Linked DNA regions of Sus scrofa. The protein of the gene in region 4 purifies or fractionates together with the protein of the main gene of each other region. This does not show direct contact. Links are inferred from orthologs where the notes say so. Each region holds a gene or a part of one and is shown on either strand. Other genes may lie near its edges.

Region 1 (4,197 bases), on a different chromosome or scaffold from region 4:
GCTTTTGCCTCACATGTTTTTCTGATGCAATTAAACATAAAACTTTTCACAAGTGAACTCAAACTCCAGAACCACTAAAAGACAGAAAAACACGCACCTTGGAAAACAGAAAAAAAAATTCCAGCCAACACTGCAATGGTACCTAAGACTAGATCCTGTGCTAGCTCTACTTGAACTTAATCTTGTTACCTTGGGGAGACACTGCTAGAGGCTCACCTGACAGATGGGAAAACTGAGGCTCAGGGAGGTCATGTGACTTGCCCCTGGCCAAAAAGCAAGGAAGTTGTGAACACTGAAATGCCCACAAGTGCAGTTAAGCACTAGGCAATACTCAACATGGGGCAGCCAGAACACTCCAGGGTCTGGCGGGAGCCCCTAAAGACAAGCGGTTACCTCCTTGAAGACACAGACTGAACACGAAAAACAAATCCAAGCCTGGAACCAGGAGGCAAGTAGCATGAAGTAGCAGGTAAGCATGACACTGAGGGCCCAGAGGTGTGCTGGCCTGAGGCTCTGGGCCTCTGGCTCCACTCTTGAAAGATGGGCCAACTATAAAAACAGCGTCTTTTGTGGCTTTGGTTCTGAAACAGACAAGCAGGCAGAGAGGAACAGACACAGAGGAAGAAGTGGCGCCTGCTGGGTGCCTGAGACACAGACAAGGAAATTAATTCCCTGGAGACACAGGTGCACAAGGCAGGGACTGAGGCTTGGAGGAGGCTTGGACCACAGAGACAAAGACCCACAGGCACAACGATACTAGGGCAAAGCTTCCCCTTAAAGCAACAGTAGGTTCCCTGCCTCAACCCAAACAGGTCAGGAAGGAAAGGCAGCTGTGGTTACTCAAAACGCTGTGATCACTTTGTTGTGGGAACAACTCCACCAGCCCAAGGGACGTGCCAGTACCAGTGGGGACACCCAAGAGAAACCAAGCAGCACGTGTGCAAGTGCCCCAAGGAAGGTTCATTCAGTTCCATCTAGCAGTCCAGCCTAGGGGCACGTGGTTTTGCAGCCAGACTCAGGATCAGCTTCAGCTCTTCTGTCTACCAACTGCATAAAACCACAAAACAGCAACCGTACCTTCCAACCTCAGTGTTCCCGGTCTTTTAAACGACGCTCATCCCGCCCCAAGTGTGGGACATGGGATAATGACGCTGGGAAAGCACCTCTCCCTGCTGTCCCAACTCTGACACCACCTCTGAGGCAGCTCAGGGCAGCCTCTCCATTACCTTCCTAAGAAATTTCACTAGGGATCATTTCACAATACTCCTCGTTAGGCACTTAACGAATGCCAGACCGTATGCCACACACTGTACACACATTACCTCACTTAACCTCAGCTGCAACTCTCACCAGCTAAAACCAAAGAAAGTTTTTCAAGCTTTCTGAGCCTGCTTCCTCCTCTGCAAAGGAAAGGAAGTCATGTCAGTCCCCCACGGCTGTTGACCATCTACTTAAATAAGCCGTGTAAAAGCTTAGCAAAGCACTATCAGTACTGCCATCACCATTGACTCCAGAAACCGGTAATAAAGACACATACCTATTTAACAGCCACTACACACAAGAAAAGGATTAAAAAAAAAAAAAAAAAGCATAGACGTGTTAAAGTTCCACAACTACTTAGCAACAAAGCAGGTACTAGAAGCCAAGTCTCCTCCCCTCCAAAGCCTGTGCTGTGAAGCGTTACAACGTGTACAGACACCCCGTGGGCACTCCGAAACCCGACTTCGTCTTCCCCAGGCGCTGTCTCCTCCTAAACCAGCCACCTGCTCCCAACTGCAGACTGGGCTGAAAGGGGAACCCCAGCGCCCCCCGCCCCCTGTGCAGTCCTCTGACCACAAGGAGCTTAGGCCTCGCGCTCGCCACCTCCTCCAGGCCTAAGTTTGTTCTAACATTCGTGGGGTGTCCAAACTAGTCGGCACTAGCTCGGCCTCCTACTTGGACTCCGCATCACCGGAGGGACTTTGCCTCCCATCCTCCCAACTGAGCTAAGTCTCCCTACTCGCTCCGAGCCTGTCTCTTTATCGCCACGTTGAAAAGGCGGACACACGCGGCGCCCGGAGGGTGGGCTCGTACAGAACAGGGGACCTGTCTAACTGAGGAGATATGGGGGGCAGACACGCCACACTGTGCCTGGCGCGACGGCGCGAGGGAGAACCGCGTGCGGGAGGAACACTGAAAACGCACAGTGCGGACCTCTCCCAGGAGACACCGCATCACCCACGTTAGGCTGGAAGGGACCCCGGCGACTAGCCCCCAGGAAAGGCGCGAAGGGCGGCGGTGCGAGAAGGGCCCACACCGCGGCCCTGCATGCGCCCACGTGAAGGGGGGCTCCAACCGCCATTTTGGAACAAAGGGGGCGTGGAGACACCGGCCGCGGGCCCGGCCGGAAGCGGAAGTGCGAGGGCATCGGGAGAAAAGGAGGGGTTGCGGGACCCAATCTACATAATCTCCTTTCCAAATTAAAAAAATAGAAAATAAGTCCGCAACGGACTCCCGACAGCCTGCGGCGCCCGCGCCACCCGCGCCGGGGGCCACGTGGGGCGCGGAACCGAACGCGGCGCGCATGCGCCCGCCGCCCCCTCCCCTCCCGCGCGGCGGCACGCCGGGCGGTCACGTGAGTAAGGCGCGCACCGCGGGGTGGGGGGGCGCCGTGCGGGCCTAAGGGGGGGAAGCGAGGGGGAAAATGGCGGGGGACACAGGGGGAAGCCGAGAGCCGCCCCGCCCGCCGCCCCGCACCCCCGGCGCCCTCACCTTGCTTATTCTCGTTGAGCTGCCGCTCGAACTCGTCGAAGTCCGACATGCTGAGGCGGCCGCGTAGGGCCCTGTGTAGCTCTCGCCTCGCCTTGCCGCGCGCCCGATCCGGCCGCTTCGGCTACTTCCGCCGCTTGCTTCGGCTACTTCCGGCCGCCGCCGGCGTTCCACCGCCTCCTACCTAATCAAGCCCCTGCCGCCCGCCCAGCCCCGCCCCGGCTCCGCCCCTCTCCCCGCCGGCCCGCCCACGAGGCGCACCTCCCCCCAGGGCCTGGCTCCGAAACGCGTCGGCTATTTCCGGACCGTGGAGGAGCGAAGGGAGAGGCGACTTCGGCTGCTTCCGAAAACACCCGAAGCGAGGGTTTCGCAGGCTTCTCAGGTTTTCGTAACTTTTCGGATAGTAGCTCTTCAACGTTCGGATGTTTCCGTAGGTCCTCGCATTCCTAGCACCCAGACTCCCCACTTAGAATTCAGCTTCTTCCAAGAACTCAAACCGTCCGTCTTTGGCTGCTTCCACGGATTCTACCCTCTCTTTCCCAACGGCCCTGTCCAAGCAATCGGCCACTTCCGACAATCCTAACCGTCCCGGATTTCGGCACTTTCCGAAGGTCTCTGGCGCTCCCCCTCGGGCCCAACCAGAGATTAAACCCGTTTCCAAACTTCGGCTCTTTCCGGAGATTCCAAGAGCAACCTCCTCCCCCTTTCGGAGAACTTCGGCTCCTTCCGCCACCGCCTGGGGAAGGACTCACAGCAGACACCTTCGGCTTTTTCCGTGGGCGCTTCGGCTCCTTCCGGCTCCGGGAACCAAAAAGGGAGGGAGGACAGAGGCGAGGTGGGTCAGGGGAAAGGAAAAGAAGAGGCAGGGTCTCGGCTCTCAGCACCCGGCTCTCCCTGTGGGGCGATGGGAGGAAAAGAAGGACCGATGTTGAGAAGCGCCTAAGAAGGTTTCGCGAGACAAAAGCAGCCAGCGGAGTGAAGAGTGCGCGCGGCTGCTGCGGAGGTTGCCAGCGCGGCTTTGTGCGCATGCGCAAAGTGGAAGGGGCGAGCGCGAGAGAGCCTCTGCGCCTGCGTAGAGATCGGTCTGAACCGAGACCTCTCACTGTTCGGAGAGGGGGGGCGGGTCGTCGGGGCCACAGCCCGAGCGCGCGTGCGCGAGATTTCCTTCCTCCAGGGAAGGGACTACATTCCCGACCGTTGAGCAAGGCCGCCCCCTTGCGGTTGCCGTGGCAACCACACAAGCGAGCGTTCCCCCCCCCAACCGCGCCGACGCTGCTAGCCACGCAGCGGGCACTTCCGGGAGACAGAGAATCTCGCTTTACCGCCTCCTGGAGGCAGTCTCTGTTCAGAGCTCCCCGCTCCCCTCGATGGTCGCCTCTCCCAAAAGTCATTGAGTCCCGCCTTCTGCCGCCTTGCCTCTGGTCCAAGTCGGCTCATGCCTCCTTCCCG
Region 2 (4,065 bases), on a different chromosome or scaffold from region 4:
ATGTATAAATCAAGACTGGAAAAGAAATATCCTCCCAAATGGTTATCTTTAGATATCTACAAGCGATTTTCGTCTTTTCTTTAAAGACATTTTATGTAATGTCCTACTTTTTACAATATTCGCTTTATGTGTTTTAACTAATTTAATCCTCACAACAGTAGGTAACACTATAAACTATAGCTTCTACTTTACAGTTTTTTTACGAGCAAGACACTAGACATAGAAAGTTTCAGTAACTTTTTCAAGTTACTCACTGTAGAAGGCCTAAATTCAAAACCAAACCAATATATTAAGAAATAGTCATCTGAAAAAGAATGGGTGCATTTTTTTTCATGCATCACTGAATCATTCTGTCGTACAGCAGAAATTATCAAATTGTAAATCAACTATACTCCTTTAAAACTTAATTAAAAAAAAAAAAAAGTTCCTGCTGTGGTCACTGGGATCACAGGTTCAATCCCTGGCCCAGCACCGTGGGTGGATTAAGAATCCGGCACTGTAGGCACTGCCGCAGCTGTGCCCTAGGTCAAAACTAGGGCACGGATATGATCCCTGGCCTGGGAACTCCAGATACCTCATGGCAGCCTAAATAAATAAATAAATGGAGAAACAGCCTTCCATCATTTTGTATATAAATCCAAGAGTTTATCCTCATTTGGATTATGTCTCCTAGAAGACCATCTGCACAGCAATAGGCAATGTTATTAAGTCCAAATATATTCTGTGCTAAATCTTTCCTTTAGGCCTTGTTACTCATTAAATTTGAGGCTATTACATTTTCCTTAAGTGCAACCTATCATAGTGATTGGCATTCTCCCTCTACATCAGTTTATAGCAAAAGATACGGATCCTGAGTCTAAATTACACGCAGAGGGATCTGAGACCAAATTCAGAACTGGAGAAAATATGCTAAGAATTGTTTGCTGTGATGTGGGAAGAAACCCCATTAAGCCTCTGTCTTCCGTTAATGTTTAGTGCATTTTGTTAGCACCTACATCTAGTTTCATCAAACTGAACCCTAGTACAAAAAGGCTCTTCTGTAGTCACAGGTTAACCCTGGGGATAACCGATTCATGAAAAGTTGTGGAAAACTGAAGATGTCTACCTACAAATTCCAACCATGAATAATTAATTTTAAAAACAAGCCCTCAGGGTGAATGGAAAACATGAAATAAGGACTATACTATCAAATTCCTTCCTCCCTAGTCTTATCTAACGCCATCATATTAAATATTAACTATAGACTAATGCTATCCAAATATACATTGAAAGTTTAGTCTTTTCTCTTTAAAAGCTCCAAAATCAAGTTCATCCATCTGCAGCACTTATGTATCCACCTGAATGCTAACATGGCATCACAGTTAAAACACAATTTTAAATTTCCTCCCTAAACCTGTTCCTCTTCCCTCTAATCCCAGTGTTCCCACCTCCTTAGGCGGCACAACCATCCACCAAATTACTCCTATCACCCATTTGGGACTTATCCAGTCCCTCAACATCCTCCATAACCATCCGTTGCAGTCTTTATTATGTACCAATCAGTATCCGTTAAGGAGCATTGCAGCAACTACTTCACTTAACCCATACACGACACTGTATAGCTAAGCATTATTACAGGTAAGTAAACTGAGAGAAAGAATAATTTGCCTCAACAGACAGAGCTTCTAATTGGGGGACCCAAAATTCCAACCCAGGTAGTCCTGATCTACTCTTGACCTAAGGCTCACTTTCGCCTCCAAACATGATTCCAATCTGTTCGCTTCCCTCCCCTCTCCCACTACTGCAACAGCTGGAGTTCAGCAACAAGGTCCTAAATAATTCCCATTTCCTTTGTAACCACGCTAAAATCCAATCTTCTTTTAAATTCTTCTCACCACATTCCAGTCACGTGGCCTTCTTTCAGTTTCTTTCTAATCCCTGCCAGTAAACACTAACTAATCCCCCTCCGCCTGGGGAGTTCTGCTTTTCTTCCACATCTTAGTAGTCGATAATCTCCACCCTTTGGGCGAGACGTCGGCTCAAATGTCTGCCTCCTCCGAAAAGCCTTCCCTCGCGCCACCCTTCCGGAAATGGCGCCCTTCCTTTACACTAAATCCTCCAAGAGCTTTTTTACCGAAACCAGCACTTGTTTCCACACGGCTCCCCACCCCCACCACGACCCCAACCTCTGAGAGAAAAGAGCAAGGACTGTGCCTAGCCTGTTTTCTGCTCTATCCGCAGAGGCCGCAGGGTACCACCCGCTATTTTCGGCACGCAGGCCTGCGTGGACGAACGAAGGGCCCTAAGCGTGGGCGGCGGTTTGGCGGGCTTAGCTCCCCCCACCCCGGGCCGATTCAGTCCCTTTCACTCTACGGCGACAGCGCCACCGCCAAGCGCAGGCTGGAAGAGGAAGTGGGGTTTGGCCGCTCCGGAGACGAAACTAGGCCTGCCTCCGCGAATAACTGGGGGCCAAATGGCGGCCTCAGGCAGCGCAAGCGCGGAGCGGCGTCGCAAGCAGCACGCAACCCGCAATCCGGGAACCCAGCGAGGCGGCTCTCCCCTCCCCCACCCGCCACCGCCGCCAGCTCCAGGCAACAAAGACCCGCTGCAGAACCCCGGGGCCTACGCCGTCCCAACCGGTAACAAAGACGTCTTCCCCTTACCGGAGTCCGATTCTTTGTGCCCGAGAGCACAGCTCTCTCAGGAACGTCCCTGGCTCGGGCCTTAGCGACGGAGACCAGACGAGCGCACCACCACTCGCACCGAGGCGGCGGCGAAATGGCTCCGACCGCTACGCTGTGGAGGCGGAGTCAGTGTGCTACGCATGCGCAGAAGGGGAGCGTGGGGCCAAGGGCGCCCGGAAGAGGGGCGGAGCTGCCGCAACCACGCGACGGGCAGCGTCCAGTCGCCTGGGAGATCCGCCGCGCCCTAGAGCGGCGCCGGGGCGGAGCTTCCTCCTTTGGCGCGAGGCCTCCTCAGGAGGGGCCTGCCGCATGTTTTTGGAGAATGTTTTGCACCTTCTGTCATAGGGACCTGTGGTAGATGAGGTGCCCCACAAAGACACAACTGGAAATCCTAGGTGGTAGCTTTATAGGGTTGTTGGTGATTAAATGAGATGGCTTAAAAAATAGAATAAAATAAATGAGATGGCTTGCGAAGGCGGCTTAGGGCAGTACCCAGCACACAATAGTTGTTCAGTAGGTATTGTAGTGATTCGGCTCCTCGAAGGTTAACATCCCCTAAATAGAAGTAAGCTCGGTGAAGGCGGGAACCCTGCCTGGCCAGCTCAGGCCGCTAAATGAAGTACTTGGCACATCAAGTGCTCAGTAATAACTAGTTTAATAAATAGAAACTGTAAAGTTCTTTTTGCTCAAATTGGATAACCTTTTGTATTCATAGTCTTCGGAGTAATTTATATCCTTAACTATTATAGTAGTCACTGCTAAATTTTTGAACTCCAGTGCTTCTCACGGAGGCAACAATACAAAATATTTCAAGCTGGGGTTGTTCCAGAGAAGCCAGACCAGTAAAGTATCAGGCCCCATCGTACCTAACATCCTTATTTTTCACCTCTTCCCTTTTTTTCCCCTAACTCTTCTAGCTCACTGTGATTAATCCCTTTAAAACTCTGTTTCTTCTACAACCAGAGTAACACAGATTAAAACATTTAAGTTAAACAGAGGAACGTATTTACTCATTAACTTATTTTCTCCATGTTTGCTCTCTTCAACTAGGAATAAAATCATCAGGGAAATACCTTAATCCTTTGTTTCCTTATCTCTCTCAGGATGCTTAAATCAGGAAGTTTTCATGATAAGGGAAACCCAACTAACATAAATGGATTGCAAATGTTTTGTAGTAGATAATGTACACACCAAAAACATCAACAAATTAAGTATAAAGAATATTTTCTGAGGTCGATCTTTGGCTCCCAAAGATTACAGAGAATTTTATTACTGAGTTGTTTATTAATTTAGGCCTTGCATCTGGGACCTTGAGTTGCCAGGGGATTGGATGCCAGCAATGGCATTTACCTTTGTAGGTTGTCCTTGGCAACTAGTACCTTCTAAGATCTCCCTTAACATT
Region 3 (4,201 bases), on a different chromosome or scaffold from region 4:
CCATGAACTGTGGTATAGGTCGCAAATGCGGCTTGGATCTGGTGTTGCTGTGGCTGTGGAGTAGGCCGGCGGCTTCAGCTGCGGTTACACACCTAGCCTGGGAACCTCCATATACTGCAGGTGCAGCCCTAAAAAAAGCAAAAAGACCAAAAAAAAACCAAACCACATTCTAGGGTGAAGAGGTCAATTCAGATCCTCATGTCTTCCTAGGGCTTTTTCCTAGGTTTCACTTCTTAACACAGAAGGCAGTACAGACAGAAGAAGAGAACAGAATCTCCCTAGGCTCACCCCTCCTCCAGCTGTCAGTTGTTGTGCCTGTTAAACTTCCACCCATCTTTGATCTACTAAAAAAAATCTGTCTCTGGTGGATCTAATTTCTTTACACTTAACACGCACAACGAGGCAAAATGCAATCACCTGGTAACCAGAAGTCATGCTATTCATGTGGCTACAAACACTAACCTTATCTTATAGTCTCTCTTAACCAGTGAGGAACTTTTCCACTTCTGACCTGTTCTTAACAATATCAACAGACTGAAAGACATCACATTGACTCACCTTCCTCTTCCTTAGTTTGTAATCATTTAACTCCTCTTCATCTGTGATCTTCTGTTGAGGGGGAGGTGGAAGAAGCTCAAGTTCTCTTTCCTTAGCTTCTCTTAGCAGTTGTTCTGCAGTTATCTGTACCTCAGCTGGGGCTTTGTTTTTCACCTTTAAGACGAGACATTTCTATTTTTAGTAGACCTCTTCACACAAGGTTTAAGAAACAAATACACATTTCTTAGGATGTGAACTTTATAAACATTATTACAAGATGCCCTCCTTTGCATGACATGCTCCCATTTCTCCATAAAATTAAGTTAAAAAATACTGTTTTCTATCTTATGCATAGTATCTATCACAAAACCACAGATAAAGCTCTCAAGATATAAGGTAGCAAAAAAAAAAAAAGCACCAAGTTTTCCCTTTCAGATTAATATAATAGTAAACTCTGAGGCTGCCTAGATAAAATTCTCACCAAAGGTTTTATCAAGATGTGTGCTATATTTAGCATTTCAACCTCTATTTACAGAATTCTTCAACTTAAGCCCCAGGTAGAGGATAATGTCCCAGGTGGATAATTACAACTGATTTTTCATGGCACTTCAAGCCAAAGACTTACTCAGTAAGTTCTCATTATTAGGCTATAAGAGTCCTAGATCCAACACAGTAGCCATAATCACATTTGTTGAGTTCAAAATGGGATGGCTTCTAGTGGTAAAATATAATGGGATTTCGAAGATTTAGTATGAAAAAAAGGATAAACTACCTAATTAAATTTTTTATATTCATTACATGTTGGAATGACAATATCTTGGATTGGTTAAATAAAATATATAATTAAAATTAATGTCACCTGCAACTAGTTAAATTTAAAAAATTTAGTGGGGGGAATGAATGTCACCTGTTTTCACTTTTTAATGTAGCTATGAGAAAACTTAAAAATTACCTATGGGGCTCACATTATATTGAACTCAGGGAGCCCAATAAAAGTTTGTGGAATTGAATTGATAATTGTTCAGTGTCATGCGAAGAGTGATGATTATAATAAAATGATAGCTCATACCTAATGAACATTAAGTGCCAGATGCTGTGCTATGCACTTTATATGCGGTATCTCAAAGAATCATCATCTAAGTGGATAAAGGCTCAAGAAAGACACCTGGGCTGGAGAAACAGACTGGAGGGAGAGTATCTGTAAAGGCTTAGGACAAAGCCTCTTACATATTAAGCACTCACTAAGTATTAGCCACCGAAGGAAAAATCAGATTTCTTCTTAAATTATGCTAACTCGCAGGTCTTGTCATCTACTCTCATTCCATCCACTCTCAGCTGGCCAACTTCTACTCCGCCTCAAGGGTCGGTTTAGGTATCACTTCTCAGCAGTCTACTCTGAGACCCCTCACACAAGCCCAGTTTGCCACGGCATGTTCCACGTGGCCTGAGCAGCATTCAAGGTTGTATACTTGTAAAGATACTTTACACTTGTATCTTATTTGAAAGCTGCTCCTTGCTCGCCCTCGTTGGAGCTCCCCAGCGCCTAGCGCGCTACCTGGCTCAGCTGGTCTGTGTGGAACGACCCCAGTCCTCCCACCGCAAAAATGCCTTCCGAGACGATGGCCACGCAAACGCGGGTGCGCCCCCCATCCGCTGACCCTTCCCCTCCAGCTCTCCCGCGGCCCCACATGGGGCTGGCCGGCTCCCTGGACCACACGCCTCCCGCCCCGGGAACCGCGGAGGCCAGGCCAACCCCCTTCCCGGGCCTCCTCCCTCAAGGCTCGCGCCGCCGCCTACCTTGGCCACTTTCGGGATCCTCTGCTTCCCGGCCGCGGTGGAGGCCGCCATGGCTGCAGCGTCAGACCTCGGGCAAGCCCGGGACCCCACAAACCAACCGGGAACGCTCGCCTACACTTCAGGGATTTCCGAAAACAATCGGGATCCCGGAACCGGAAGCGGAAGTGGCTGGGGGACGTTTGACCTCCCGACGGCGCCGTGACGGAGGCAACGTCGTTTCTGTGGTAACGGTCTGCGCGTCCTCCTAGGAGCCGTGGGCGGAGCACGGCGGCTGGAGTTGCAGGTGAGTTGGATAGTGCTGGCTCCCGGTAGGGACGTGGGGAAAGTGCAGGGCGCCGGTCGCTCATCCACAGGTCGTCTCCGGGACTGGGATGCCCGTCCGAGGATGGGTGGATCTATGGAGCCCTGTTGCCAGGCAAGGGGATAGGAACCCGGCTCCGGTCAATACGCTCGAGGGCGTGGAAAAAGAGGCTGGCCAGAAAAACTGCTATTCCCGGCATGCCGAGCGGCGAGCTGCTAGGCTCCTAGGCGGCCCGACGCCGCTGTGCATTTTAGGCTTTGTAGTCTTTGAGATTTACTCTCTCTTGGTTTCTGGCTAGTTGTGACTAAATACTTAACTTTAAGGCTTGTAATTTAAAGTAACTGAAGGTTTTTAAAAGCCAGATAATAGAAATAGAGTGAAAATAAATCGTCAGAGTAATAGCAAATATGCCAATCTTGTGGTCAGATAAACATATTTAAATTTTCTTTGTGCCTTAATTTCATCAATTCTCTTAGCCCCGATGTCCCTAACTATAAGACGCAGATAATATCTATTTCACCAGGATTAAAAAGAAAAATATAAGTAATGTGCTCAGTAAATTTTAGTCGGAATATTTCTTGAACTGCTTTCAGAAACAAAAATTAATATGTGTGTGCCAATGATTAAGAGAATTTTTAAAAATAGAATTTATTTTTTAAGAGCAGGCTTAGTTTCACAGGAACATTGAATGCAAAGTACAGAAAATTCCTATTTCTCCTGCCCTGGACTCCAGCCACTGCACTATCAATATCCACCACCAGCGTAGGGAACCTATGTTGACATATCTTCATCAACCAACCTTCATAGTTTACATAGGGTTTACTCGTCATGTTGTGCATTCTGTGGGATTTGACAAATAATACAGTGCCATCTGTCCACCATTATGGAATGGTAAAGAACATTTTCACTGCCCTAAAAATCTTCCGTGCTCCGCCTATGCATCCCTCCTTCCCATTTTGTTTCCTGTAACCACTAATTTTTTTTCAATGGCAGTCTTTTGTAGACTGTCATATCATTAGAATTATATAGTGTGTAGTCTTTTCAGGTTGGTTTCTTTCACTTGGTAATATTCATTTTAGATTCCTCCCTGTCTTGTCATGGCTTGATAGCTCATTGTTTAAAAGATTGACAGTTGAAAGCCTCTTTTGGTGTTTGGAAAATATATTTATGTATTTATGTATGCAGATCACATCCACCTTTGCAGAAGAAATTTTATGCTGATTTCCCAGACTGAAGTCACCTGTAACCAATATAAAAACGTTTGCCATAGTTTCTGTACATCTTATTATTATTTAAATATTGAACGTTTTCTCACTTTTCAAATTTTAAATAAATTGAGATTTTATATAACTGTGATAGAAGTCACCTAAGGAAAGAAATAGCTATTAAAATAAAAAGATATTTCCCTTGAGTTCTCTTCAGATTGTAACTATACACAATTGATTTGACAAAGTTTAATCATCTATAGCAGCCTCTCAAAGACACAAACACCTAGAATGTTTTCTTTCTGATTGCCATCCTTCCATTTAATTGTATGTGGATTCAATTCAGCTGTTTTTTAAAAGC
Region 4 (4,266 bases):
TTTTCAGTAACACTGAGGCATAGACTCAGAATCCACATGGTAACTAGGGCTATAAATAGCAATCAAAAGAACTAAAATTGAAGAAAATACAGCTTTCATTCTCCAGTTGTTTCACCTTTTCCTAAAATCTTGACATGTTTGAGCCTCTTCTATTTAGAAATGGAACAATTTAGCACACAATAAAAAAATCTCAAAAAGGGTGCTAACTGGACCACAAAGCACCGACAAAAACAGCTTAATGTAGTTCCCAAACTTTATCATCAGTATTTAAAAGCCATATTTGCAAAACAATCTCCACTCCACAAGTCACTTGTCTCCTTAATTCAACTCCCACCCCAGCAAAACAATTTGAGTTGTGTATGTTGGTATGCAGAGTAGTTATGACTCAAAGAAAAACATTATCTAGTAGTACATTCTAGGGGTTTTGTGGAAGCTGCTGTGGAACAAAGAATTTGAAGTAAACAACTATAAAATACAAAAATAAAAAACCAGGGTGTTTATTTTTTCTCCAAATTCCTGGTTTAATAAGGACTTGTTTATTTTGAGAAAAAAGGTCCCAAACATCAGGCTGTTCACAAAAATAACCCACAGTATCAACTTTAGAAAACAAATCTTAAGACTATTACACTAATTATTTTTCTACAGGATGCATTTGACATGCCAACTCTCATTCACAAAAATACATTGTTACATTTGTGTTGAACAGCCCCACACAGCACTCTTATGTGGGGTATAACACACATACCTCTAACTCAAAGCTGCTCTCAGGTGCTACTCAACTAATGAGATTGCCTTTGCAGTTAGGGAAGCAACTACTAACTCATGTATGAATGTAAAGAACTGTACTCCCTGCATAACAACAGATTATTTTGGAGACAGTTAATAAAAACGATACATCCTTTTTATTGTTAAGTCATAAAGAGGTATCAAAATTAAAAGCAAAAATTACAGGGTAAGACTTAACATAACTACCAGGAGCGTCAAAGAAGTGAAAATGGGACTAGGCGCAGGGCAATATGAATTAATGAACATGGGAAGGACAAGGATGGGGAGAACAGTGAGCATGTGCTGAAGATACTAGGGGAGAGGATCTGGTGAAAATTTTGATCTTAGACAAGCGCCTAGGTAAAGAAATAATGGGACAAGATTTCTAAACCCCACTATGTGCTTAAGAGTCATCCTCGCCATTGGCGCTGTCTCTGTCATCCTCTCCTTCCTCAGCCTCTTTTTCATCATCCTTGATCAACTCCAGCTGTGAGAAACAGACACAAATAGGATGGAGTTAGAGGCACTCCATGTGTCCCTGATCCCCCCTCCACCACCTCTTTCTTTCCTTTCCCGTGGTTTTCACCTGGTCATCCCCCCGATCTTCATTATCATCATCATCCAGTAGGTCCCCCTCCTCAGCAGAGTCATCTGCACCCCCCTCAGACTCCATCTTCACATTAGTCTCATCTTTCTTCTGGGAGCTGCTGCTCTGCTCCTCTTCTGACTTATCATTCTTCATCTCTACTGGGGATGAGAAGGACAAGTCTGTCTAGGGGCAAGTAATGTCCACAGGATGTAGACAATCCCCACTAATGATCACAGAGATGCAGCACAAGTCTAAATCCTCCCACACAAATGCCCTTCCCAATTCAAACTCCACAAGTTTCAAATTCATCAACTGCTTTATATCCCACTACTCCAACATACACTTTCAACTATCTTAGGTAACTAACCCTACTTTACACCCAACAAGTGTAGGACCATTATTTACCTCCTTGTTTGCTCTGTTCCTTTTCGATTTTTTCCAGGCTTTCCAGTAGAGAATCCACTTTTTGTTTTATCTGGGTCAACTCCTTCTTAATGGCCTGAAGGTCATCTCCTTTTACTTTAATACAAATAAAATCTAGATTAGACTCAAACACACTCTTCACCTAGACTATACAACAGTAACCAACATGAGATCCCTGGAGGGAAATGGAGCCTGTACCAAATTGTCCTAGTAACAGGGACCTTTGATCTTTTAGGTGGAAGCTGAAAACTGAATCTAATGTGCCTATCCCTTAGCAGCAGCATTCTTAACATTAAGGCAAGCCAAAGACCTCAATTCTATTTTAAAGCATTTTCGGTTCTGTTTTACTAACACATTTCATACACTGAATAGGTATTTCAACTCTCTAAAATCTAATGACTTTTTTTCAAATTACCAAGGCGTTAGGTTGTTTAGAGTTGGCCCTTTAATCACTATTTGTCACCTTTTATAATTTTGACTATCCAAAGTCATTTGTACAAAACCTGATTATTAACTGCATTAATTTCCCTATTTCAACACACAAGAAATATAAGAATCATAAAGCTGCGATAATAATACATACACTTTCCAGACTTAGAAGATGATCCCCGCTGTCCACTCTTAGAATTGAAGCCACTTTTGCCCCTTCGTGAGGTGTTTCCTGATACACGCTGGCGTTTTGAGGGCACTACAGCCCGAGCAATAGGAGGAGGAGGAGGAACACGTGCTGGGTAACTGTACATCCTGTTAGAGAAAAAGAAAAAGAATTCCTTCACCACTAAAATTGAGTCAGGAAGATTCAAACAGTCTCCTTATTAAATAGTAAAATATTGTCCACCGCCTTACAATAATAATTTTTTGCTAATTTAATTCAAAAGGCCAGTAAAATTCTTTATTCTTTGATATTTAATACTGCAGCCACTTTCCTTCAAGAAAATACATATACACACACACACATCCAATAATATGGTTGGTTGCCTTAAGCATTGGACATAAAAGGTTCCTATGTACAATGGCAGTTTTAATAGAACATTACTTTTTTTCTTTAAAATATGGCCACACCCTCAGCATATGGAAGTTCCTGGACCAGGGATCAAATCCAAACTGCAGCTGCAACCTATGTCACAGCTGTAGCAATGCCAGATCTTTTAATCTCTCTGCACCAAGCCAGGGAGTTGAACCCGTGCCTCCACAGTGAACCAAGCCACTGAAGTTGAGTTCTTAACCCACTGTGCCACAGTGGGAACTCCAAAAGAACATTATTTTCAACCAAGCCTGCAAACAGCGCTCTTGTTACCTAAATCCTGCCTGATCTTTTTTTTTTTTTTTGTCTTTTTGCTATTTCTTTGGGCAGCTCCCACGGCATATGGAGATTCCCAGGCTAGGGGTCGAATCAGAGCTGTAGCTACTGGCCTACGCCAGAGCCACAGCAAAGCGGGATCCGAGCCGCGTCTGCAACCTACACCACAGCTCACGGCAACGCCGGATCGTTAACACACTGAGCAAGGGCAGGGACCGAACCCGCAACCTCATGGTTCTTAGTCGGATTCGTTAACCACTGCGCCATGACGGGAACTCCCCTGCCTGATCTTTTTAACCACAGAAACATACAAGTAACTACCATTAGTTAGTAACAGTACACTGAACCAATAAAATGGCCAATATTAACCATTTTTGGCCTACAGAAACAGGCATTTCATGTATTAGCTGGGCATAAATACCACTACCACTATCAATTCTAACATTCAGCATAAGCTCCACTCAAAGTTTCAACAGAGAATATTGTTTATCTTGTTCACTATTCACTAGTGTGTCCAGCACACATTTAGTTCTCAAAAATCACTGACTGCTCAACTGCTGCTTCCCCTGGACAAGTAATCCCAGTGACTGCTAAATATACACCCAAGTGTAGTTCCCACTGTGTTGCAGCAGGTTAAGGATCTGGCATTGTCTTTGAGACAGATCAGGTTTCATCCCCAGCCTGGGACAGAAGGTTAAGGATCCAGTGTTGCCGTAGCTGAGGCTTGGATTTGATCCCTGGCTCAGGAACATCCATATACCATGGTGCGGCCAAGAGGAAAAAAAAAGATACACCAAAGTGATGGCCTGGTATTGACTCTGAACATTTATAAAGAGAAAATCCAAAATACAACCAAAAACATGGAGAGCGGTTCTACAAAGTCTCTTCAATCTGTTATTTTACAAAAACCCATGACAGTATAAGTAAAACATTATCAGTAGGAAAAAAAACCTTACCTACCTTAATATAAAAATGTTTCCACCCTACTTTAACAAGATAATATTTTTAATATTTTCCTATAAGTGGCTATGCTAGGAACACTGCCAAAGAAGTGAGGGAATGACTTACTACTAATCTTCACTCAAACAGTTTTTAAGCATTGACCATCCAACACCATTCCTCTTGCAGCATAATAATGATTTACCATGTGCCAAAGAATCAATGACTGATAAAAATTATTAAAGCACTC
Region 5 (3,500 bases), about 46 Mb from region 4:
GAACCTCCAAATGCCGCGGGAACGGCCCAAGAAATAGCAACAACAACAACAACAAAAGACAAAAAGAAAAAAAAAAAAAAAAAAAAAAAAAGAAATAATTCCTTTTGTAGGATGCAAGTCAACTAAAGCAACTAACCACATTGTTTATTCAGCCTTCATTTTTTTCACAGAAAAACTTTCTCAGGGAAGGAAGCAGTTCACTGATTTACTTTTGGGCCTGAGCTCCTTATTTTGTCACAGACTAGCACTCTGAAAAGTACTTCCCAGGACCTCTCCTGGTTCAACAGCCTCACTTAATAAATGAAAAATCCAAGGCTCAGAAGAAATGAGTAATGATGAGGACATACTGGGAGAGTGATGGTCCTAAAACTCATGTTTTCTAACTTTGAGTTTAAGCTCCTTTCGCTACACTGACATTTCCTAATTTATAACAAAATCGAAAATAAGTTTTTGATACATTTTACCAAAGTCTCCAGATACTAAAGAGAATACAGTGCTTATTTTTATCTTACATATTTTTACTACATTTTAAAACAAATACTGTCTTCTTTTAAGGATATTGGAGCTTTACAGTAAATACCAGCCATGCAAGAGTATACACTTGGTGTGTCTCAACTGAAAAGACAATGCTTTTTTAATAAAACTTTGCAGCTCATAATCAAATACTTACGGATTTTAGCAACCGGATTTCATCGAGTGCTGTTTCAGTATAATGTTCAGCACTTTTAACGACTTTCATTGCCACAAATTTCTTCCCCCTAAGAAACAAACACAGGCAATTAAGACTAAATGTCCTACCCCTACTTAGGAAGCTAAGATTTAACTGTAACTGGGAAATGGTGACAAAACTACAAATGTTGATTTCATTTTGTCCTGTGCTCAGATACAAACTTCTACTTCAATGGGGCTGTCTATATCTGTTAGCGGCACTAACTGGCCAAATTTAACTTACAAAAAGAAAAAAAATCTGTTCTAGGATAATGTCAGACACCAAACATTTTCTCTAAGTTAAAATCTACCCCTCCGAATGTCTCTGTGAATCAAAGTAAAACCATGAAATAGAGATAAAAGGGAAAACTCCATCAAACTAAAAGTATCCAGGGTAAAGGGAAAAGGTTATGATGGAACACTTAATGTAAGAAAAAAGAATGCATACATGTATATGTAACTGGGTCACCATGCTGTACAGTAGAAAAAAATATATATATATAAATGATTAAAAAAGAGAACAAACAAAACAAAAAAAGAAAAGGTTAAATGCTATTAACACTTTCCTCTAAGAAGCCAGAATACATGGGTGAAAAACTGTTTATAACCTAAGTGCACAGACAGCAATTGCTGTCTCATCAAAGATACTTTTAGGTAAACACCCAATGTTAACTGCCTGCGGTTTTTACATAGAGAGGTTTTAGATTGTATGGCTGAGCAAATCTGTCAGCAAAAGAAACCACACACACAAAAATAATTTCACATAGGTGAAACTAAAGGACACAATAAAAAAATTTTACTCTACTCCTTCCTGTGAGAAAAACTGAAAGGTTACATCCCATACTTCGAATTTGGGAGCTTCAAGCACCTTACTGATACTAATTTAATCAATCTTGTTTCTCTAAGGTGCTTCAGAGTGAAGTCATTTGGCCAAGAACATAAAGATTATCAACAGTTAAGATTCTGATTAAGAAATTAGTCTAGAGTTAGCCTGAAGGTGGAAAACCAGGCAAAACATTTAAAAACGACCTAATTCACTTGCAGGACCATTAAAACTTACTGAATATCCCATGATAACCATACTGTTGAAAAGTGTCCCCAGCCCAATTTTCGGATCACATGATATCTCCCATTGAATAGATCTCCGATTTTCACAAGATGGTAGCCTCCTGGAAGAACAACAGGAAGAAAACAGTCACTTTACGTAAGAAAGGATATCTTACAACCCATTTTTCAACATCAATACACCTTTTATCAAATACATTTTTTTGGGGGGGCCACACCTGGGCATATGGAAGTTTCTAGGCTAGGGGCTGAATAGGAGCTGCAGCTAAGGCCTACGAAATTGTGCCTATGCCACAGCCATAGCCACACCAGATCCTTAACCCACTGATAGAGGGCAAGGATGGAACCTGCATCCTCACTGACACTATGTCAGATTCTGAGCCACAATAGGAACTCCCAAATTGGTTTCTTCTAATACAGTCAATTCAACAAAGGACAATTTTAAGTCAGCCACACACTAGTGTTGAGCTCATGCTACAAAAAAGTATCTTAGAGAATAAGAGTAATGATTAATAAGAGTGAGCAAGTGATGCTTTAGTTACCTAAAAAAATAAAGTCAGCCCCAAACAAGAGTAAGGTTATGTATCACACCATTCTTGCCCCTCAATAATTCAACAGATTTATCTAAACTATAAAATCCATTTACGGTTGTAGTCTCAGAATTAAAAAAAAAATTTTTTGGCTGCAGCATGCTGCAACTTGATGTGGGATCTCAGTTCCCAGACCAGGGATTGAACCCAGGCCACAGAGGTGAAAACAGAGCCCTAACCACAAGACCACCAGGGAACTCCCTCGGGATATATTTTAGGAGAGAAATTAATGAGTTCTATTTACTTAACTTAAAATAAAAAAAGGAACTGCTTTTCTAAAACACATAATACAACAGAAAAAAACCAGGAAGGCCTAAAGAGGCTGCCAACAGTGGCAGGAATCAAGGGATTTTAACATCTCTGCTGCTAAGAACAACCAGGTTCTCCTCGATGGTAATATACACTCTGTTTTAAGAGCTACCCAAGAATACTGGAAAGTTTCATAAGGAAACATATCAGGTAATCTTCTAAAACAGTTTAAGTATCTGTTAATTCCAGTTAACATATGTTAGCAATCAACACTTTAAGAAAAAAATAATGAAAAAGCAAGTGTTTTCCAAGTCTGTATATCCAATCTTATCGCTGGTTACTTCTGGATGACAGCACTACAGATAGCCTTTATTTTCTTTTTGTTGAATACATTTTTGAAATTTCTAAGGTAAATATGCACTACCATATTTAAGGAGAAAAGGAATAGAAACAGATTTAATATAAAACAAAGTTTTAATTACTAAAAGGGAATACTAATTCCTGTACTTAGAGAAAAGCATTAAAACTGTTTATGCTGGGAATTCCTGCTGTGGCACAGTGGAAACGAATCCAACTAGGAACCATGAGGTTGCAGGTTCCATCCCTGGCCTCGCTCAGTGGGTTAAGGATCCAGTGTTGCCATAAGCTGTGGTGTAGGTTGCAGACAAGGTCCAGATCCTGTGTTGCTGTGGCTGTTGTGCAGGCCAGCAGCTGTACCTCTGATTTGACACCTAGCCTAGGAACCTCCATACGCTATGGGTGCAGCCCTAAAAATGCAAAAACAATAACAGAAAAACAAAAAAAACCCCAATCAACCAAACAAAAAAAAAAAAACCCCCCTGTTTATGCCTGAGTTCCTGTTGTGGCTCAGGGGGTTAAGAACCCAAC
Region 6 (3,500 bases), on a different chromosome or scaffold from region 4:
CATCAAAGCAAAGACTAAAAAAAATGAAATAATGTTAACTGCAAACATTTTTAATTGAGGTTATTTCTCTCAAATAATGATTTGCTGGAAAGTGGACATTTATCACATACCAGTTTAACAGCTTCCTGGGCAGCTTCCTTTCCACAGAAGGTGATAAATGCATACCCTCTGTTCTGACCAGACAGTGGATCCATCATAAGACGAAGGTCCCAAATGGGACCAGCCTTTTCAAAAAGGGGCACCAATTCATCCTCATATAAATCTCTTGGTATTTTACCTACAAAGACCTGAAATTAAAGCCTCTGTGTTAGAATCCCAATGTAAGCATTTGATTTCAGAGCCATAAAGCTCAGCTCCCTTTTTTAGGGAGTGGGGATACAAAGATCTCATTAAGGAGAAATGGGGACAATTTGAATCCTCCAAAGTAAATCCTAGCCTTTATCATGACCCTTGTGGCATCAACACAAACCAATATTCTATGCTGAAAAATGGAAACTGATTAATAAAAGTGTGCAAAATTTGTACCAACTCTAAATTCTGAATTACGCCTCTTTTTCCTAAAAAAAAAAAAAAAAAAAAAGGAATGAAAGACATGTATAAATCTTCATGGAAATATGCCCTTTTTTTTGGGCTTTTTGGGGCTGCACCTCTTGTCACATGAAGTTTCCAGACTAGGGGTCAAATTTGAGTTGTAGGTGCCAGCCTACACCACAGCAATGCAGGATCCAAGCCACATCTGTGACCTACACCACAACTTACAGCAACGCCAGATATTTAACCCACTGAACAAGGCCAGGGATTGAACCCTCATCTTCACGGACACTAGTTGGGCTCATTACTGCTGAGTCACAACGGCAACTCCAAAAGGGTTCAATTTCTATGTGAGCAGAGAGCTTACCTCTTTTTCCCCATTTTATTTCAAGCAGTGAAATACCAGGAACACAACAGCTGCTCATCTTTGAATTAATACATGGATGAACATCTACCTCTTAACTGTAACTGATGCACTAGATCCCATCCCTTCTTTCATGCTCAAGGACACTTAGTCCAGCAACAATTTTATCAAATTTCCCCCTTTATACATGGATCATTCCCATCAGCACATTAAGTGTAATTACTCCCTTAAAATTTTAATTAAAACAAAAACAGGAGTTCCCGTCGTGGCGCAGTGGTTAACGAATCCGACTAGGAACCATGAGGTTGCGGGTTCGGTCCCTGCCCTTGCTCAGTGGGTTAACGATCCGGCGTTGCCGTGAGCTGTGGTGTAGGTCGCAGACGCGGCTCGGATCCCGCGTTGCTGTGGCTCTGGCGTAGGCCAGTGGCTACAGCTCCGATTCGACCCCTAGCCTGGGAACCTCCATATGCCGCGGGAGCGGCCCAAGAACCAAGAAATAGCAACAACAACAACAACAAAAAGACAAACAAAAAAAAAATAAAAAAAAAAAAAAAAAAAAAAAAAAAACATATCTTGACTACAACACAACCCTTCCCAGCTATTGTCCCATTTTTCTGCTACCATTTGTAGCAAAATTACTCAAATGAGCTACATATACTTGCTGCCTCAAATTCCTCATCTCCAGTCTTTTGAATCTTCTCCAAATCTGGCTTTTAGAACCATTCCAATCAGTCACTAATGACATCCATGTTGCCATAATCAAATGTCTATTCTTAGTCCTCATCATACTTGGGAAGTCTGATATAACTGATCATCCTTCCTTCTCTAAAAACTTTCTTGACTTCTGAGACCAAACTCCTGATTTTTCCTACCTCACTGGCTCTTCTCAATCCCCTGTACTAGTTTCTCTGTCTCCCCAAATTCTAAATGTTGAAGGGCTGCAGGAATCAGATGGTGACTACACCTAAACTCATAGTTTTTAAATACCATCTAGATGCTTATGCCTCCCACATTTATAATCTCCAGTGAGAACTCTCCTATCAACTCCAGACTCATATAACCACTTGCTCACTCAACAGTTCCATATGGATGTCTAAGAGACATCTATCTTTCAATCCTACTAATCTGCTCTTTTCTACCACCTCCTTCACTTCCACAAATAGCAACTCCATCCTGCCAGCTGTTCAGGTCACAGGTCTTGAAGTCATCCTTGGCTTCTTTCTTTCAAATCTCTGTATCCAACTCATCAATAAATCCTATTAGATATGCCTTCAAACAATCCAGAATTTGACCACTCCTCACTCACTTAAGCTGTATCACCCTGTAACATTATCAAACCTATAAACCAGCATTCATTAACAGGGCACGGAACTTAAAAAAAAAAAAAAAAAAAGTTACTGGAGTTCCCATTGTGGTAATGGAAATGAATTTGACTAGTACCCATGACGATGCGGGTATGATCCATGGCCTGTTCAGTGGGTCAGGGATCCAGCATTGCTGTGAGCTGTGGGGTAGGTCACAGATGCGGCTTGGATCCTGAGTTGGTATGGTTGTGGTGTAGGCCGGCAACTGCAGCAATGATTCGACCCCTAGCCTGGGAACTTCCATATGCCACAAGTGCAGCCCTAAAAAGCAACAACAAAAAAAGTTATTGAGGAAGTTCCCATTATGGCAGCAGTAACAAACCCAACTAGCATCCAGGAGGACACAGGTTCAATCCCTGGCCTTGCTCAGTGGGTTAGGTATCGAGCGTTGCTGTGAACCGCATTGTGGGTTGTAGACGTGGCTTGGATCTGGTGTTGCTGTGGCTGTGTCTCAGGCTGGCAGCTACAGCTCTGATTTTGACCCCTAGCCTGGGAACTTCCATATGCCTCAGGTGCAGCCCTAAAAAGACCAAAAAAAAAAAAAAAAAAAAGTTACTGATCAAATGTATCCTGAGAGTTACTACTGTGGCTCAGTGGGTGAGAACCTGACGAGTATTCATGAGGATGCTGGTTCCATTCCTGGCCTCAGTGGGTTAACAATCCAGTGTTACCGCAGATGCACCTGGGATCTGGTGTTGCTGTGTCTGTGGTGTAGGCCTCAGCAACAGCTCTGATTAGTCCACTGGCCTAGGAACTTCCACATGCCACAGGTGCGGCCCTAAAAAGAAAAAGTGGTATTCTGAGATAAAAAATACACAAGAGCAACTGCAATTAATTTTGAAATACAGTTTTTAGTGTGGCCAGGCTCTCTGGCCACACCCAGGCCTAGCCTGGTTAGAATATTTTTTTGCACTTGACAGTATTTGTATCTGAATATTTTAAAACTGTTCTGGGAAGTAAATTCTGCTTTATATTATTTCTATCAACATAATACAGTGGTGCTTCAAAATTACATCGTTTACATCCACATTTTCTCCTACCTATTATGAATATATGTAAAAGCAAAGAAAGCACGTGTAGTGGCACTATAAAAATACAGTTGAACACAGCCAAGTGAGGAAGCTAAGTGTCAGATCTTTTTTTTTTTTTGGTCTTTTTAGGGCCGCACTCGTGGCATATGGAGGTTCCCAGGCTAGGGGTCAAATCAGAACTGTAGCTGCTGGCCTACGCCACAGCAACAT
Region 7 (3,500 bases), on a different chromosome or scaffold from region 4:
CCTTTGGACTTGGTCATTTTCTAAACACAAACATTTTTATAATTCTTCCTAGTTATATACCTAGAATAAATGAAGTTAGAGGAATTCATTAAATAACCTTTGAAGTCATATCTTTAACATATTGTATCTAGATATCAAAAACAGATATGGCAGATCATGCCACTAAAAAGGGAAGACAACCTCCACTACGTGTGTAGCAAGAAAAACATGCCAGAGTTCCTGTCGTGGTGCAGTGGTTAACGAATCCGACTAGGAACCATGAGGTTGCGGGTTTGGTCCCTGCCCTTGCTCAGTGGGTTGACGATCTGGCGTTGCCGTGAGCTGTGGTATAGGTTGCAGACGCGGGTCGGATCCCACGTTGCTGTGGCTCTGGCGTAGGCCGGTGGCTACGGCTCCAATTCGACCCCTAGCCTGAGAACCTCCATATGCCTCGGGAGTGGCCCAAGAAATAGCTAAAAAAAGACAAAAAAAAAAAAAAAAAAAAAGAAAAAGAAAAACATGCCACAGGCAAATCTGTACCAGTGTACTTCGCTATAAATTAGTGATCTATTTTATTTATTTATTTATTTATTTATTTATTTTTTGTCTTTTGTCTTTTTGTTGTTGTTGTTGTTGCTATTTCTTGGGCCGCTCCTGCGGCATATGGAGGTTCCCAGGCTAGGGGTTGAATCGGAGCTGTAGCCACCAGCCTACGCCAGAGGACAGCAACACAGGATCCGAGCCGCGTCTGCAATCTACACCACAGCTCACGGCAACGCCGGATCGTTAACCCACTGAGCAAGGGCAGGGATCGAACCCACAACCTCATGGTTCCTAGTCGGATTCGTTAACCACTGCGCCACGACGGGAACTCCGTGATCTATTTTAAATACCAGTATTGACTTGTCTGGATTCTTCATTACAACAATGTATCATAAAAATTAAGATGCCAGGGTCCAGAATAAAAATGCCAGAGCTCAAGTCCTTGGCTCTGCAAACTGCCTAGAGCTTTGTGACCCTGGCCCAGTTAACTTCTCTGTGCCTTGGTTTCCTCTTTCATAAAATGAATATAAAATAACATTGGCTACCTTACAGGTTACCAGGGATTAAATGAGAAAATACTACATACATAAGTACTTAAGAGCGGCTATACTTAACTTTGTTGGAGTTCCTGTCATGGCGCAGCAGTAACGAATCTGACTAGGAACCATGAGGTTGTGGTTTTGATCCCTGGCCTCGCTCAGTGGGTTAAGGATTTGGCGTTGCTAAGAGCTGAGGTGTAGGTCACAGATGCGGCTTGGAGCTGACGTTGCCATGGGTGTGGCATAGGCCGGCAGCAACAGTTTCGATTAGACCCCTAGCCTGGGAACCTCCATATGCTGCAGGTGCGGCCCTGAAAGGACAAAAGACAGGAAAAAAAAAAAAAAATCCCCAACCAACCAACCAACCAACCAAAAAAGCCTTTGTTAAATAGTTTCCCAATGCCTATTTAAATGACACTTCTAGGGAGTTCCCATTTCAGCTCAGTAGTAACAAACCCTAGTATCCATGAGGACGCGGGTCTCATCCCTGGCCTTGCTCACTGGGTTAAGGATCCATCATTGCCATGAGCTGTGGTGTAGGTTGCAGACACAGCTTGGATCTGGTATTGCTGTCGCTGTAGCACAGGCTAGCAGCTGCAGCTCCTTTTTAACCCCTAGCCTGGGAACTTCCATATGCTGCAGGTGCAGCCCTTAAAATAAAAAAAAAAAATTAAAAAAAAAAAAAAGGGAAATGATATTTCTTACTCAAGGTACTACCTAAGGTGAAAAACTGCCTAAGTTTTAGAGTCAAATGTTGGTTAAATCTCAGTGCAACTACTTACTAGCTGAGAGACCACAAGTAAGAACTTCACCTCTCTCAGATTGTCTCTATTTTTGAAATCGGAAGGAAACCACTAACCTTATGGGTTCTTGTGAGGATTAAATTAGGTACTAACAGGAAGCAATTATTAAGGCCCTCCTTCTCAGGATCTGTTCAGGACAACTGAAAATTTAAAAGTATTTAAAAGCGGCCAGCACTACTTGGCCCTGTCACACAGCAGGCACTCACCTAATGGCAGTTACCACTCATTCATTTCCTTTCTCTTTAGAAATAGCAGTTGTGTTGCATTTAGTAGGAAAACTGAATAGAAATCAATATTTCATACTGAACTGAGATTTTACACATCTGCCTGGAGCCCCACCCTTGCAGAGAGTGAGAAGACTGCATGCTAGTGGTAGGGCGCCTTCCCTCCCTGGGCCCAGCACCCAATCCCACCACACCCAGGCACCTTGGTATACTGTTCCACCAGCTTCGTGAAGTAGTTAAAAAGGCTGTGTTGGGGACGAAGGAAGTCAAACTGATAGTTGCGCTGCTCTTTCTGCATCAGTTGGGTCAGAAACTGGCGCCCATTTCTGGCCACAAACTGAGCCGTCAGCTTCACCACGTCCAGGTCGAACGCTGAGATGGAGGGAGGGTCTGCGATGAACTCGAATTCGGGAGGGGGTTCTTTGGGCACGATGGTTTCTTGGATCACCTGGGCTTGGACCTAAGATCCAATAAGAACGTGAGAAAAGAGGCACAGGAGTAGACTACTGTGGAGGGGGTGGGAACACACCCTGGCAGGATGGCAGTCCTCTATGCTTCTGCTAATTACACTCATACCACTGGCACATGGTATGAGAAAAACCTAACTCAAAACAGCACCAATTTCTTGGCCAACTGTAGCCTCAATTCTCTGAATGGCTTTTTGAATGAGGACCCTGCCCCTCTGTACCTCTGATGTGCCCTGAAACTGAGGACCAAAACTGGGTGGCAGAAGATCAATAGGAACACAGCTTATTACATCCCACCCAACAGGGATGGAGGATGCAGAAGACCCTACCAATCAGAAGACTTCCACATTTGTTACCTCATCTGGCCTCCACACGAACCACAAGGTAGACATGACAAGTACCGTAAATTCTTTTCTTTCCCTCCCGCTTTTTAGGGGCACACCCATGTCATATGGCGATTCCCAGAATAGGGGTCAAATCAGAGCTGCAGCTGCTGGCCTACATCACAGCCACAGCAACATCAGATCTGAGCAGCATCTGGGACCGACACCACAGCTCATGGCAACCACAGATCTCCGATCCACTGAGTGAAGCAGGGATCAAACCCGCATCCTAATGGATACTAGTTGGATTTGTTTTCACTGCACCACAATGGGACTCCCATAAATTCTATTTATAGGTGAGGAAACTGAGGTCATCTGAGGCCCAAGGAGTAGTAAATTGCAACACAAAGTCTCCGAACCTACTTCAACCTCTTCACTGTAAAACAAGGGGCAGCCCTTGCCATGATTCGATAATGCAGCAAAGAGAAAGGACACATTGTGCCTCCAGGTCCACACAGGTGGCAAAATGTATGGGCTCTTCCTTTCCTCACTGACAGCCCTAATCTTTCCTAGCGCTAAGGGGTTATTAAGGCAGGCCAGACAGAGAGGTCCTGGAAAGATG

The links.
Region 1: the proteins of HNRNPC (region 4) and U2AF2 fractionate together in Homo sapiens (co-fractionation; 3 studies listed by BioGRID, with this or other methods). This does not show direct contact. The link is inferred for Sus scrofa from reciprocal best matches to the Homo sapiens genes HNRNPC and U2AF2.
Region 2: the proteins of HNRNPC (region 4) and DHX9 purify together in Homo sapiens (affinity purification with western blotting; 5 studies listed by BioGRID and IntAct, with this or other methods). This does not show direct contact. The link is inferred for Sus scrofa from reciprocal best matches to the Homo sapiens genes HNRNPC and DHX9.
Region 3: the proteins of HNRNPC (region 4) and CRNKL1 purify together in Homo sapiens (co-immunoprecipitation; 3 studies listed by BioGRID and IntAct, with this or other methods). This does not show direct contact. The link is inferred for Sus scrofa from reciprocal best matches to the Homo sapiens genes HNRNPC and CRNKL1.
Region 5: the proteins of HNRNPC (region 4) and SRPK1 fractionate together in Homo sapiens (co-fractionation; 3 studies listed by BioGRID and IntAct, with this or other methods). This does not show direct contact. The link is inferred for Sus scrofa from reciprocal best matches to the Homo sapiens genes HNRNPC and SRPK1.
Region 6: the proteins of HNRNPC (region 4) and HNRNPR purify together in Homo sapiens (affinity purification with mass spectrometry; 3 studies listed by BioGRID and IntAct, with this or other methods). This does not show direct contact. The link is inferred for Sus scrofa from reciprocal best matches to the Homo sapiens genes HNRNPC and HNRNPR.
Region 7: the proteins of HNRNPC (region 4) and SF3A1 fractionate together in Homo sapiens (co-fractionation; 3 studies listed by BioGRID and IntAct, with this or other methods). This does not show direct contact. The link is inferred for Sus scrofa from reciprocal best matches to the Homo sapiens genes HNRNPC and SF3A1.

Annotation. Positions count from the first base shown.
Region 1 is NC_010448.4:59,772,793-59,776,989, reverse strand, and holds the start of U2AF2 (U2 small nuclear RNA auxiliary factor 2), read right to left. Parts: upstream 2,801-4,197; coding exon 2,752-2,800; intron 1-2,751. UniProt on the Homo sapiens protein: Plays a role in pre-mRNA splicing and 3'-end processing. By recruiting PRPF19 and the PRP19C/Prp19 complex/NTC/Nineteen complex to the RNA polymerase II C-terminal domain (CTD), and thereby pre-mRNA, may couple transcription to splicing.
Region 2 is NC_010451.4:124,140,664-124,144,728, reverse strand, and holds the start of DHX9 (ATP-dependent RNA helicase A), read right to left. Parts: upstream 2,801-4,065; 5' UTR 2,643-2,800; intron 1-2,642. UniProt on the Homo sapiens protein: Multifunctional ATP-dependent nucleic acid helicase that unwinds DNA and RNA in a 3' to 5' direction and that plays important roles in many processes, such as DNA replication, transcriptional activation, post-transcriptional RNA regulation, mRNA translation and RNA-mediated gene silencing.
Region 3 is NC_010459.5:28,109,072-28,113,272, forward strand, and holds the start of CRNKL1 (crooked neck-like protein 1), read right to left. Parts: upstream 2,801-4,201; 5' UTR 2,386-2,800; coding exon 2,335-2,385; intron 712-2,334; coding exon 559-711; intron 1-558. UniProt on the Homo sapiens protein: Involved in pre-mRNA splicing process. As a component of the minor spliceosome, involved in the splicing of U12-type introns in pre-mRNAs.
Region 4 is NC_010449.5:77,966,145-77,970,410, reverse strand, and holds the end of HNRNPC (heterogeneous nuclear ribonucleoproteins C1/C2), read right to left. Parts: intron 2,522-4,266; coding exon 2,361-2,521; intron 1,874-2,360; coding exon 1,760-1,873; intron 1,513-1,759; coding exon 1,352-1,512; intron 1,253-1,351; coding exon 1,169-1,252; coding exon of another isoform or gene 1,151-1,168; 3' UTR 501-1,150; downstream 1-500. UniProt on the Homo sapiens protein: Binds pre-mRNA and nucleates the assembly of 40S hnRNP particles. Interacts with poly-U tracts in the 3'-UTR or 5'-UTR of mRNA and modulates the stability and the level of translation of bound mRNA molecules. Single HNRNPC tetramers bind 230-240 nucleotides.
Region 5 is NC_010449.5:31,677,306-31,680,805, forward strand, and holds part of SRPK1 (SRSF protein kinase 1), read right to left. Parts: intron 1,878-3,500; coding exon 1,769-1,877; intron 759-1,768; coding exon 671-758; intron 1-670. UniProt on the Homo sapiens protein: Serine/arginine-rich protein-specific kinase which specifically phosphorylates its substrates at serine residues located in regions rich in arginine/serine dipeptides, known as RS domains and is involved in the phosphorylation of SR splicing factors and the regulation of splicing.
Region 6 is NC_010448.4:81,218,917-81,222,416, forward strand, and holds part of HNRNPR (heterogeneous nuclear ribonucleoprotein R), read right to left. Parts: intron 288-3,500; coding exon 111-287; intron 1-110. UniProt on the Homo sapiens protein: Component of ribonucleosomes, which are complexes of at least 20 other different heterogeneous nuclear ribonucleoproteins (hnRNP). hnRNP play an important role in processing of precursor mRNA in the nucleus.
Region 7 is NC_010456.5:47,321,949-47,325,448, forward strand, and holds part of SF3A1 (splicing factor 3A subunit 1), read right to left. Parts: intron 2,549-3,500; coding exon 2,291-2,548; intron 1-2,290. UniProt on the Homo sapiens protein: Component of the 17S U2 SnRNP complex of the spliceosome, a large ribonucleoprotein complex that removes introns from transcribed pre-mRNAs.